Linked DNA regions of Bombyx mori. The protein of the gene in region 2 purifies or fractionates together with the protein of the main gene of each other region. This does not show direct contact. Links are inferred from orthologs where the notes say so. Each region holds a gene or a part of one and is shown on either strand. Other genes may lie near its edges.

Region 1 (6,406 bases), on a different chromosome or scaffold from region 2:
TTTGGTCAGGAAGAAATCGCCGGACTTCCGCCCTTTTCTGGGGATACTGGGCGGGGTATGTCAGAGTCGAACTGACTAAAACCTCCTGTCGCTCAACAACCAACGTCCAAACCTCGCATGAGACAGAACTCATGACAAGGCAAAGGGGGGAAAGTGAAGCGTTTAGTGCGGAGCACATCTCTCCCATCACCCTCCCCCTCGGGACGCCGGACTGGCGGTCGTCGGCGCCACGACCACCAGCCCTCTCGGTCGGCAGACTGTCCGAAGCCCGCCTAGATGGCGCCGGTTAGAGTGGGTTACCCTACGGAATACCCCGCTGGGCCAGAACCAGCGTGGGTCGAGGATAGCCGGCCTTCCATCACCCGGATGCTCTTGCGTAAAACGCGTGCAGAGCAGCTTGCACGTCGTCTTCTTAGGCCCCCCTCGCCGGTCCCCAGACCGACATGTGAGGGGGACCCGAAACACTTAGAGGGCCAGGGCTTGGGCGAGATCCGCCTCCCTGGCCCCCGCTCGACGGCGGCGGGATTGTGCGTCTCTCACGCGCCCCGCCGCCTCCTTCTGCGAGATGGTGCACTCGCAGAAGTCGAGCATCGCCTTCCAAGACTCGTCGTCGCCGAGCATCGATGCCACAACACTCGGCAACGACAAGTCGGTTCCTATTTTTGCGACGAGGACACGGCGCCACCCCTCCCATGCGGGGCAGGCGACGAGCGTATGCTCTGCCGTGTCCAAGTCGCAACCACAATGGTGGCACTCTGCCGTCGGCTCGGCTGTGATCCGGTGCAGGAACTCATCGAAACAACCATGCCCAGTGAGCACCTGCGTAAGCCGGAAAGTGAGGCGTCCTCTGTCACGATTCACCCAATCCACAAGGACCGGGCGAATCGCCTCGACGGTCCTACGACCAGCCGAAGGATCAGCCAGCCGTCTGGACCATGACTCCAGCACGGACCGCCGAGATTGGGCCCTCCGTGCTCTGACCACACTGGGGCTGGGACGCGCCACGCCCCGGGCACGAAGTTCAGCCCGCCACCTATAGTCAGCGGCGAGCGCCTCCGCTTCCAGAACCCAAGGCGGCGTCCCAGCCAGTACACACGCCGCCTCAAAGGAGATGGTGCGATAACCACGGATGACCCTGACCGCGATGGTGCGTTGCGGCCGTTGCAGCAGCTTCGCCACCCCCACGGCCAGGGACTGGCCTCACACGGGCGCCCCGTATAGGGCCATTGATCGCACCACCCCCGTATAGAGACGGCGCGTCACCTGGTCAGGCCCCCCGACGTTGGGCAGAAGCCGGCTTAGCGCGCCGGCCACCCCCAACAAACGAGGGACCAGGTTCTGAAAGTGAGCACGGAAGGGAATTATAACCTTAGCTAAAAAAATTTTATTTGTTTTTTTTTCAAGTCACAGACAACTCTTTCGTTTGGCAGCATATAGGTTTACTATAAGGCTGTATGGGCTAAGCCCTTTGCCTATTGGCGGATTTAAAAACTATGTCACTAAGTTTTGGGATGTTATCAAATAAGTAATTTATTTTTTTGTAAAACAATGCCAGGTTGAACGAAATGTTGATACATAAACTAAACAACGTGAAAAAATAAGGCATAGTTTTTCAAGTACAAATAGTTTTGACGTAAAGTTGGCCCACTTTTGGGTATTGTCCTTTTCGATGCGTTCGTTCCCAAACATTTGCCATCATACAAAGTTATTATATTATATTAAATTAATTAAGGAGCAATATAAGGAGCAACAATATATTGTGTTCTAAAATCATTACGTTCAATATGTGGTCCACCTAGGTCCTGGAACTAGCTTAGGGGGGGGTCATGACCCCCATGACCACCCCCCTGGATCCGCCCTTGGCTAATCATTGTTGTGCTTGTGACCATTGTTGAAATGATTTATTTAATATAAACAAAGACCCAAGGTTGATTAACATAAAGCATTAATTTGTTTCAGAGTGATTTTTTTTTACATTCGCAAAGATTCGATATGAAAAAGCAGCTAAACTAGGATTATTTTTAAAAATTATATTTACGAAAAATTATAGATTATACTTATAGATTATAGTTCAGATTACTGATTGTAGATAATCTAACAGACTTTAAAGCTCTTAACTTGCCTGTATTTTACATATACTTGATTCCTGCAAAATTTCTCTTTTAATTGAATTCTCTGAAAATTCTCTTTTTATTTGATAGGAAAATTTCTCAGATTTTCTAACAAGAATTTTGGCTTGAGTAATTTTTTATTAAAATTTTTGAAGTTATTCTTTTAGTTCTTTGAATTTTTGGTTTCTAAATCTTTTATTTGCTAATGATTAGTGCAAGAAAAAATATATTAAGTATTGTATTTTTATTTGGTAAGATGCATCAAAACTGCCTCCTTCAGGGCTACATAGTATGATCATTGAAGAACCTTAGACCATTAAAATTTATAAAAAACATACTTAAACATTTACATTTGTAGTCCTATTGTGATATTAATGAACCTGTGTTTTTTGGAAAAAAAGGCTTAATTTTAATTACAGATTTTAAATAAAAAATATTAACTACCCTTCATACCTATGTACAGCTTGTGGTTGGGTAATTATTTATTTGACCACAAATAACATCTCGCAATATAATGAAGTTAAGCTCACCAAAGTTATGGAAGCTTTGTATGAAAATTATTAAAAGCACGTAGTTGCCTTTTTCCTTAACTGTTCAGTTCCCTATTATGTAGCCTCATGTCTAATATTCTTTGATATATTTAATTATTCTTTTGGTATTATAAAAGTTTAAAAATAATAGACACAAATATGTAATATATTTTCATTGCAAATTTTAGGCTGCAACCAGTGATGATTTGAACATGCTAATAAGTTTATTAGAGAGTCCCATATTACGAAGTATTACTACACTTCATGACTCTGTGGGCATGCTTGCAACTCAGGTTGCACATCACCCATCAATTTTACCTGGAGATTTTGATATTACTCCTGCTGGTAAGTTTTTAACCAAAAAAATATCCTGATTAAAATATTGCCCATTTTTTGTATATGGAACTTATTATACCTAACCAATTTTCCTACATAACTATATTTGCTCTAAAGGTGACTTGGCATTACAAACAAGAAATTTGTATGGAAATCAAGAGGGTGAAGAGGAGCAAAGGGTGCCACAGGTCTCACCTCCACATAGTATGGAGTTTGGATCTGATAATGAACATATTCTTGGACTTGATAGTGGCTCTGTTGACTCTAACATGTCTCCTAAACAAGTATGTAAAGATTAAATTGTTATTTATGCTATGTTTTACAAAAGTCACATGTTTTTCTAATTCTACAAATATTCTTAAAATGTGAATATGGTTTTCCAAGTTTTTATGATTTTCCAAGTTTTTACGAACTTACCACGGGACCAGTTAACGTGGCGTGATTGTTAGTAAATATTTATTATTATTACTTTTTCTAAAATGTACTAAACAGAGCATGAGAGCATTATGATTCACAATAAATTCATTTCAATTTGTTTTTCAGAGTCGTGGCTTATTAGATTTGTCTCGTAATGATGATTCTTTAGCATCTACCAATCACAACGTAGTAGCAGGGGACTGGGCACAAGTTGAAATTATAAATCTTGTAAATGATGGAACTGGCCTTGGATTTGGTGAGCATTAGTTATGTTCAAAACTTATTCGACCGAGAGATTAATGAGTGCCTTGAAATGTATTTTTGTTGTTAATAACATTCAAGTTAATTTTTTAATAATAATTACTACCATGCATCAAATTCAATTTTGTTATACTTAATGAAATTGAGGAGATTTTTTATGCCGCTCACAATTCATTTAATTTTACACAGGTATTATAGGTGCTAGAACAAGTGGTGTCATTGTAAAGACGATACTAGCAGGTGGTGTAGCTGATCGCGATGGCCGACTAAAATCTGGAGATCACATTCTACAGATTGGAGATGTAAATACTCAAAACAAAAGAACATTAGTACATTTAAAAAAAATAACTAAGGAAAAAATATTTGCCTAAGTTGTTTAAACTATATATGTAGTATAAATTACTTTTACAGTTTAATTTTGGGTTTATTATTTCCAACGTATGGACTTATGTACAATTTTCATGGTCATTTTGGAATAAACCGTAAAAGTCGTTCTAATAATCTCTATGACTCTTGAAAATGAAAGAAAACAAAGCAATGGTTTAGTTTGAAGAGGTTTGGTGTTACAAACAGTTGAAAGTATCTACTTATGTTGTATTTTACTATCTTTTGCACACACCATTCGCTTTACTAAAAGTTTAATATTGGTTGGGCGATTGGTGAGCCGGCACGGGTAGGTAACCACTCCGCCTATTTCTGCCGCGAAGCAGTAATTCGTTCAGATTTGAAGGATGTCACATGACACAACCATTGTATGATACAAGTAAGACTTGGACCATAATAATATGTCTCGAGGTGTGGGCTTTTTTTTTATATTGCTTAGATGGGTGGACGATCTCACAGTCCACCTGGTATTAAGTAGTTACTGGAGCACATATACATCTACAACGTAAATGGCATTCACGTAATAATGTCTACGGGTTCCAGTATCCACTTAATATCAACAATCCATTAAAATGCATTCGAATTATCCGCTCAGGTAAGCCTTATGGAGATGGGTTCCGAGCAAGTAGCTGGTGTGCTACGTGCGTCCGGTAGTCGTGTGAGGCTCGTCGTGGCGCGAGCAGTGGATCCGGCGGCCTTGCATGCGTCACCCGCTCCCGTCGTGCCTGCCAGGTACTTCGTTATACCACACTTGTACCACATTGTACGTTTTAATTCTGATATTGTGTGCATCGGAAAAATAAAACAAGAAGCAATAAACCTGAAGTCTTTCACTCTATGCCTGTCTCTTTTTTTTATAAAAAAGCTGTGTCAAAGACAAACAGTGGTCAGCGCCACCTGTGTATACCAGCCATACCGGGGCCTTAGTGAATTCATGTCTACTTTAACTCACCGAGCCGTATAGACAGTTTTGGAAGACGTGTTTCATACTCGATACATTTTCTAATGTATTACTGTTATAGTGTAAATTTTAGCTCTATGACATGTCTTTCTTCGAACCAGGCTGGAGAAGAGTACTCGTTGGCAGCGGTTTGACTGTGCCCCTGGCATTGAACGATGATACCCACTCACATAAAATCAAACCCGCAAATTTTAATTTGAGTAATGACTGGTGGTAGGAACTCTTGTGAGTCCGCGCGGGTAGTGAAGCGGTAATGCGTTTCGGTTTGAAGGGTGGGGCAGCCGTTGTAACTATACTTGAGACCTTAGAACTTATATCTCAAGGTGGGTGGCGCATTTACGTCGTAGATATCTATGGGCTCCAGTAACCACTTAACACCAGGTGGGCTGTGAGCTCGTTCACTAATCTAAGCAATAAAAAATAAAAAAGGGGGGCCGTGTGCCTACAAGGGTAATAATAATAAAATAATTTCAGGCTTTTGTCAGACCCCGAATCGCTGGATCGCTATCTCATGGAAGCTGGTTTTGAGCAAGTGTTCCATACGCAGCCTGTGCCTGTCAGCTCCACTTCGACGAGATTTGTATTTGACAATCCCATAACACCCCCTCCAGATTCAGGTAAATTGCACACGTACAATAAGTTCGAACATAATCGATTACATAGAATATCGAATATAATAGATGTTTATTGAAGAACTAAATAATACTCCCACAGATGCTGAATCACCAGAAGTTGATAGATTCACAGTTCAACTGAAGAAAGACGAGAACGGCTTAGGGATTACTATTGCAGGTAATGGCGATTCTTTTACTTTTTTTTTCCATGAAATATTATGAGGTGTTCCAGGAAACGGTGGGATCCGACTGAGACTTCAGGAGAACAAAATAAACACTATTAACAAAATAAAAACGGTTAATAAAAATTTGCTTACGATGTTACCGCCAATAAGTTAGATTTTTGAACTTGGTACATCGATGGGAAGTCACGGTTTACTCGTTAAGCTCCTAGCGCCCATAGATATAACAACATGAACGCTAATATTCGGTGGCAAAGCTATGAACTCGGATTAGACTAATAATGGCATATTACAGAGTAATCAAAATTATTAAAAATTAAACTAGTACATAACCATTATGATATATGTTTAATATATAACTAATAGGATTGTACGAATGCTGTTTTTGATGGTATTAAATAATTATAAAATATTACCCATGAACTTCGGAACAACAAACTTGATGCAACCTTTAAATGCCTATATTTAATTCATCACATCATCACATCACAATTGTATTGGTTGTTCATGGACCAGGTTATGTTTGCGAAAAGGAGGAGCTGTCAGGTATATTTGTGAAGTCGGTGACTCCGGGGAGCGCTGCAGCGTTGAGCGGAATGGTGAGGGTCAA
Region 2 (6,406 bases):
GCCGGATGGTGCGTGCCAAAAATTACCCCTGGAAACGCACGATGGGTAGGCGCAGTGGGTCCGGCGGCCGGTGATACGTCCGTAAACAAAAAAACAGCCAATAATGGGACCCTCACAGACAATTCCTCCACGAGTAAAGCGGGTTTCCCCATAGCAGGGGGAGGCCCTAATCTACTATCGAAGGATTAAATATCCAAAAATAATATTCCACGGGGGAGTAGTCGGAGTAAATAAAATAACTCTGTTGGAAAGTCTGATTTTTGTAATGATAAAAATGTCGATATATATGAACGAGCTGAAGGGTCCACGACCGGGGGTCTGGGAGGACATTGTTTGAATGCTCACCTGAACATAACTCTATAAACAAAACGAATTTCTCCATGAACAGATAAAAAATCGGCTAATAACATGTAAACTACTTTTAAGATTTAATTTGGCGTTTACTATTGTCAGTAGATATGTCAGCGGTGGTAGGCGTCCGGTTCGTCATGGCTCGGCGACCCTTTTTTATTAATTCTAATTATTTACCCCACTCAAACTGCATTATTTTTTGTTACTCTAGAGACTTTTGTGTATTGTTTTACTTAATTTTACAAGTTCGAGTGCAACGATAATGAGTTGTAATTATCACCGATAAAACAACAAAATCGTGATAATTACAAATAGACATGTGATCGCAGACCAACGTAACATTAATACATTAAATTATCACACCCTGTATAATTACAGTTCACTCCAGTCAGTTAAGTCGGACTCTGTTGAAGCGCAACCAGATTAACTTGTATGTTTGACAAGGTTTTAATTTTAATTTTTTTCATCGACTAAAACGTTATGTTTTTCGTGAGACTCAAAATATGAGTCAAGACGCGCATTTCTAGTTCGACCTCATGCCTCAAGTCGGGCGGCGCCGGCTCGTTACCGTGTCCACGGGGTGGACGCGGATGCTTGCTCATGTTTTAACGCTAAGGTAATGAGATAGCGGAGCGCAGTACAAATCCGAGCGGGTCCGTACCTGCCACAAACACGAAGACAACTATCCTCTCCATCACGTATAGCACGTTCATTGCACAATTATTCGCATCACTCACAAACCTTATTTCGATTTTATTAAAAACATTACTAAATCTAACACTTATTTGTAAGTACTTTTTAAATTTTCAGTAGTCATTATTATTTTTGATTTGACATCACGAAACAAATTTATTTATCAAAACCATTTTTCACTCCTAATCCCAATTCATCCAATAATTAATTCTTTAGATGTCACAATCTAAAATTCCGAAACTTATTGAGTACAAGCGCTTTTTGCAGCAGGAAATATGTGTTAAGAGGTCAGAGTGTTGTGTCACACTTTACCAAACTGACGCGGGCAACGGTGACGCGGAGCTGGCGGCTCCCAAAGTGCGCACGCGGGCGGGGGGCGCGGGGGGCGTCGGGGGGGGGGGCTGCTACGGAGGACACGGGTGGGTAGCGCGGGGGGGCGCAATCGTCTAATATCCAGTTGTCGTACTTGTGACGTGGTCACGGCAGCAGCAGAGCCCCTCTAGTTCCTATGGCGAGCTCCGTTACTTCGTGATCAGAGCTGGTAATAGACTGATTTAATCCGAGTGCGCAAGGCCTCTCCCTTTGCAATGGGATTGAGTAAGATCTAGACTTCTCTGTCGCGTGACGGCCGTAACTACAGTTTGAACTAGTTTAGGAAAGATATTAACATATATCTAAGGTGTTTTATTGGAATATAAAGCCCGCTATAAACATCCTAATAAAATAGAATACTAAATTTATTAATGATTAAGAAATATGTCATTTTGAAATATTCTTGTACTATGGGAAGTGTTACTTTGGTTTGAATAATATTACATATTTTAACTTTGGAATTATTTCATTAATATATGTTATTTATATCGACGCTTGAAAGGCAAACGTGACTAAGCGACAATGCGTGAACTTTACAGTAGACTAATTTAAAGTTGAAATACCTGAAAAAAAAATATTTTAACGGACCTAGCTATAGGCTTGAAATGATTTTAATAGACCTAGAAGCATGTTTTTTTTGCGCATCAAATATAGTTATTGCCTATAATTTATGTACAAAGTAGTTATTGTCGCTTGCCACGTTTGCCTTCCAAGCGTCGATATCATGTATCGGAATCACCAACATATGTAATATAATATGTATTGTGACTACGCGCGTCCTCGCAACGTCTTAGTTTTCCTCCTCGACCCGACCAGGAAATAAATATATTACAACTAAATTGGAACCGATAATAATTTGTGGGTCCTTTATTGGAGCGAATTTCTATTTGAGCAAAACTTTGAGAGCTTGTGGTTAACGTTATCAGTTTATCAGCTGCTATCAGCCGCGCGCGGCCGCCAGCGATAACTGCCGCCTTATCGATCAGTATAATGATAAACCTACAACTATGAGCAGGTTTCTTTATTTGATGAAATCAAAATGTATTTATTCCTCAAATATTGATTACCAAACTGTAAATATATTTATTAACCAATATATTTATGAAAGAAAATATTCTGTATGTTTAAATATTCATGGAAGTAAACAACATTAGATAAGGCGACCGTACGCCCGGAGACGTGTCCAGGTTCGATCCCGGAGTTGCCTGATCTCTTCCTCATTTTTAAAAGAAATGTCTACATGACCACGGCCCTGCCTACTTCTGCCGCGACACTAGGACACGTTCCGTTCGTCGGTAGGGGGAGACGGGTCGTGCGTGTGTGCGTGCGTGCGTGCGTGCGTGTGTGTGTGTGTGTGTGTGTGCGTGCGTGTGGGTGTGTGTGTGTGTATATGTGCGTGCGTGTGTGCGTGTGAGTGTGTGTGCGTGCGTGCGTGTGTGTGTGGGTGGGTGTATATGTGGGTGTGTGTGTATGTGTATGTATGTGTATGTGCGTGCGTGTGTGTGTTCGTGTGTGTGTGGGTGCATATGTGGGTGTGTGTATGTATATGTGGGTGTGGGTGTGTATATGTGCGTGCGTGTGTGTGTGTGTGTGTGTGTGTGCGTGCGTGTGGGTGTGTGTGTGTGTATATGTGCGTGCGTGTGTGCGTGTGAGTGTGTGTGCGTGCGTGCGTGTGTGTGTGGGTGGGTGTATATGTGGGTGTGTGTGTATGTGTATGTATGTGTATGTGCGTGTGAGTGTGTGTGCGTGCGTGCGTGTGTGTGTGGGTGGGTGTATATGTGCGTGCGTGTGTGCGTGTGAGTGTGTGTGCGTGCGTGCGTGTGTGTGTGGGTGGGTGTATATGTGGGTGTGTGTGTATGTGTATGTATCTGTATGTGCGTGCGTGTGTGTGTTCGTGTGTGTGTGGGTGCATATGTGGGTGTGTGTATGTATATGTGGGTGTGGGTGTGTATATGTGCGTGCGTGTGTGTGTGTGTGTGTGTGTGTGCGTGCGTGTGGGTGTGTGTGTGTGTATATGTGCGTGCGTGTGTGCGTGTGAGTGTGTGTGCGTGCGTGCGTGTGTGTGTGGGTGGGTGTATATGTGGGTGTGTGTGTATGTGTATGTATGTGTATGTGCGTGCGTGTGTGTGTTCGTGTGTGTGTGGGTGCATATGTGGGTGTGTGTATGTATATGTGGGTGTGGGTGTGTATATGTGCGTGCGTGTGTGTGTGTGGGTGTATATGTGGGTGTGTGTGTATATATGTGTGTGTGTGTGTTTATATGTGCGTGTGTGTATATGTGGGTGTGTGTGTATATGTGCGTGTGTGTGTGTATATGTGCGTGTGTGTGTGTACATGTGCGTGTGTGTGTGTATATGTGCGTGTGTGTGTGTATATGTGCGTGTGTGTGTATATGTGCGTGTGTGTGTGTATATGTGCGTGCGTGCGGGCGCGTGCAGTTACCGGTGGCGGTGCAGTCGCAGAGGAAGTGCTCGGAGTCCCGGTAGCAGCGGCCGCCGTGCTGGCAGTGGCCCACGCACTCGTCGCGCTCCTCCGAGCAGCGCGCGCCCGTCCAGCCCGGCGCGCACGCGCACTGCACGCCCTGCAACCACACCCACTGGTAACCATGGCATGTCGACAGGCGCTCGACAGAGCTCATACGTCACGGCGCCCCCCCCCCCACCTGCGCGTCGGCGCGGCACTCCCCGTGCACGCACGGCGTCACCTCGCAGAACGGCTTCTCGCAGTACACGCCCTCGTAGCCCTCCCGGCACTCGCACGTGAACTTGTTCCCGGTCGGAGGATCTGGAAACAACCAAATCATAAAATATTATTTCAGTTAACTTCACTTCTGTGACTTTTCATAATGCAACAAAAACGTCCCTTTTTAAAGATAAAACTTTAATCGACGTATGGATTTGAGTAGAGATAGAAGATGAAGAAGGAAGAGGAGCCGCTATCGGGCACCGCGCGACCTGCAGATGTATGCGTCTGACTTTTTTTTTCCTAAGCTGATAGCCTTGAGAGGCTATTTCAGCGTAACCTTAACTATAGTAGAGTTATTTTGTCCGTGCAGTTTGGGTCATAAAAAATCGGAGCAGTGCAGCGAGTATTTCGCTCTCTCTTCCACTCACAAGCCTTATGGACGGGCATAGTGATGCGCATTATTGTTGTCGATAAGCGTTATCGATAGTGTATTTAATTTTGTCATTTGGTGGGTTAGTGATAAAAATGAAAAAAAAAACACTAATCGAACACTTACACCACATATCGCCGCAGCAAGTTAACGAGAACGGCAAAAATTAACACTTTGTAACTTTTCGAGAACTATTCTTATTTCAGTGAAATTTTTTAACACATTGTTGATAACAACACGTGCAAATATTATTTTGAATAAATTCTGCCGTTTTGATACAAAACAAAGGAGTAGCTATTGGGTCACTAAAGAAATTCAGATAACGAATGCATAAAAACACATTTCTTTTCGACATAATGTACTATAATTTGCAGGTGACTCATAACCTAACAATATCTCACCACCCTTCGTATACCACCCCGCCGCTGTGTACCAGCCTTCGATAACTCATTTGTTTTTATCGATAATGGCTTTGCGCCCGCGCAACATGGTCACCGCCCTAGCCGGGTTATGTTTTATGACCCAAACTGCACGGACAAAATAATTCTACTATAGTAGGTACTCGCGGGGCTCAAACCTGACGACGTTGCTAACATGAACTCTAGCAAGAGCCGTGCTTCGCAGAAGCTACCACCGGATCGGAATCGCGACCCACTGAGAAGATCCGGCGAGAAACTCAGTGGGCTGTGTCCGAGGGTTAATTTACTCGTTGAGCCCTTCGTCGCAAGTGACGAGTTCGACGAGAACGGTGACCGGTGCTTGAAGTACCTAGAAGCACCGTTAGTGGATCGGGAGGATCCGAGATGACGTGTTTTGGGCGACGTCGACTGCTTTCCATTCTGTCCGCAGGATCGGGAATGTAGTTACCGGCGGCCACGATGAGAGGGTTCTCGTGTCGTGCCGCTTTATCGAACTGGGGTGCGTCTGATATATAACGTTAATTACCTTAGCAAGATCGAATTGAAATTTTTTTCAACTTCTCCCCTTCTTCTCGACCTCTTTCTTCAGTATCAAATTAAGAAGAAGAGGTCCTCAATCCACAGTGAAGTTTAAATTATGATTTTTTGCATCGTAATAAATATACGTACGCATATACAAGTTGATGTAGTTTTAATTTAGTCTAGTCACATAATACATAATATGCGTGTAGTGCAGTGTAGCGTGGAGGGCCTCACCGGGGGGGTCGTCCGTGCAGCGCGCGGCGCCGGGGGCGCAGGGGGAGTGTGCGCATGTGCGGGCGCGTGGCTCGCGACACGTGTCCCCGCGCCACTGCGGCGAGCACGTGCACGTGTAGCCGCCGGGCGCGTCCACGCACGTGCCGCCGTTGGCGCACGGGGACGACGTGCACTCGTCGATGTCGCTCTCGCACCTGCGGGCCGCGACACACTGGTCATGCTACTGGACACACATGCGACGTGCGGGGGGTGCACTGGCGCGACACTCACAGCTGCCCCTCGAAGCCGGGCGGGCACTCGCAGCGGTAGGCGGCCACCAGGTCGCGGCACGTGGCGCCGTGCTGGCACTCGTGCACGGCGCACTCGTCGATGTCCACCTGCAACAGCACCCGCGTGAGCACCGGCCCCGCCGCACGCTGCGGGCGCGGGGGGCGGGGCAGCTACCTGGCAGTAGTCTCCGGAGTACCCGGGCGGACAGGAGCAGGAGTAGGAGGAGCGCACGTCGGCGCAGCGCCCGCCGTTGTTGCAGTCCGCCTCCAGGCACAGCACGCAGCCCACGCCCTCCGCCGCGCCCCACGGCACGCCGGAACTGTGACCGCACCACTCTACTTGTATTACAATGGAACGAGGATTTGGACTACACACATTTGTTCGGGTCCGGAAGCAAGTTCTTACAGCACCGAGCCTAGTGATTTGAAAA

Evidence for each region.
Region 1: the proteins of protein crumbs (region 2) and patj homolog purify together in Drosophila melanogaster (affinity purification with western blotting; 7 studies listed by BioGRID, with this or other methods). This does not show direct contact. The link is inferred for Bombyx mori from reciprocal best matches to the Drosophila melanogaster genes crb and Patj.

Annotation. Positions count from the first base shown.
Region 1 is NC_085111.1:10,378,166-10,384,571, forward strand, and holds part of patj homolog, read left to right. Parts: intron 1-2,829; coding exon 2,830-2,986; intron 2,987-3,094; coding exon 3,095-3,261; intron 3,262-3,520; coding exon 3,521-3,650; intron 3,651-3,844; coding exon 3,845-3,957; intron 3,958-4,634; coding exon 4,635-4,771; intron 4,772-5,474; coding exon 5,475-5,617; intron 5,618-5,714; coding exon 5,715-5,792; intron 5,793-6,312; coding exon 6,313-6,406. UniProt on the Drosophila melanogaster protein: Involved in cell polarity establishment. Probably participates in the assembly, positioning and maintenance of adherens junctions via its interaction with the SAC complex.
Region 2 is NC_085121.1:444,956-451,361, reverse strand, and holds part of protein crumbs, read right to left. Parts: intron 6,296-6,406; coding exon 6,151-6,295; intron 6,084-6,150; coding exon 5,977-6,083; intron 5,901-5,976; coding exon 5,707-5,900; intron 4,201-5,706; coding exon 4,079-4,200; intron 3,998-4,078; coding exon 3,859-3,997; intron 1-3,858.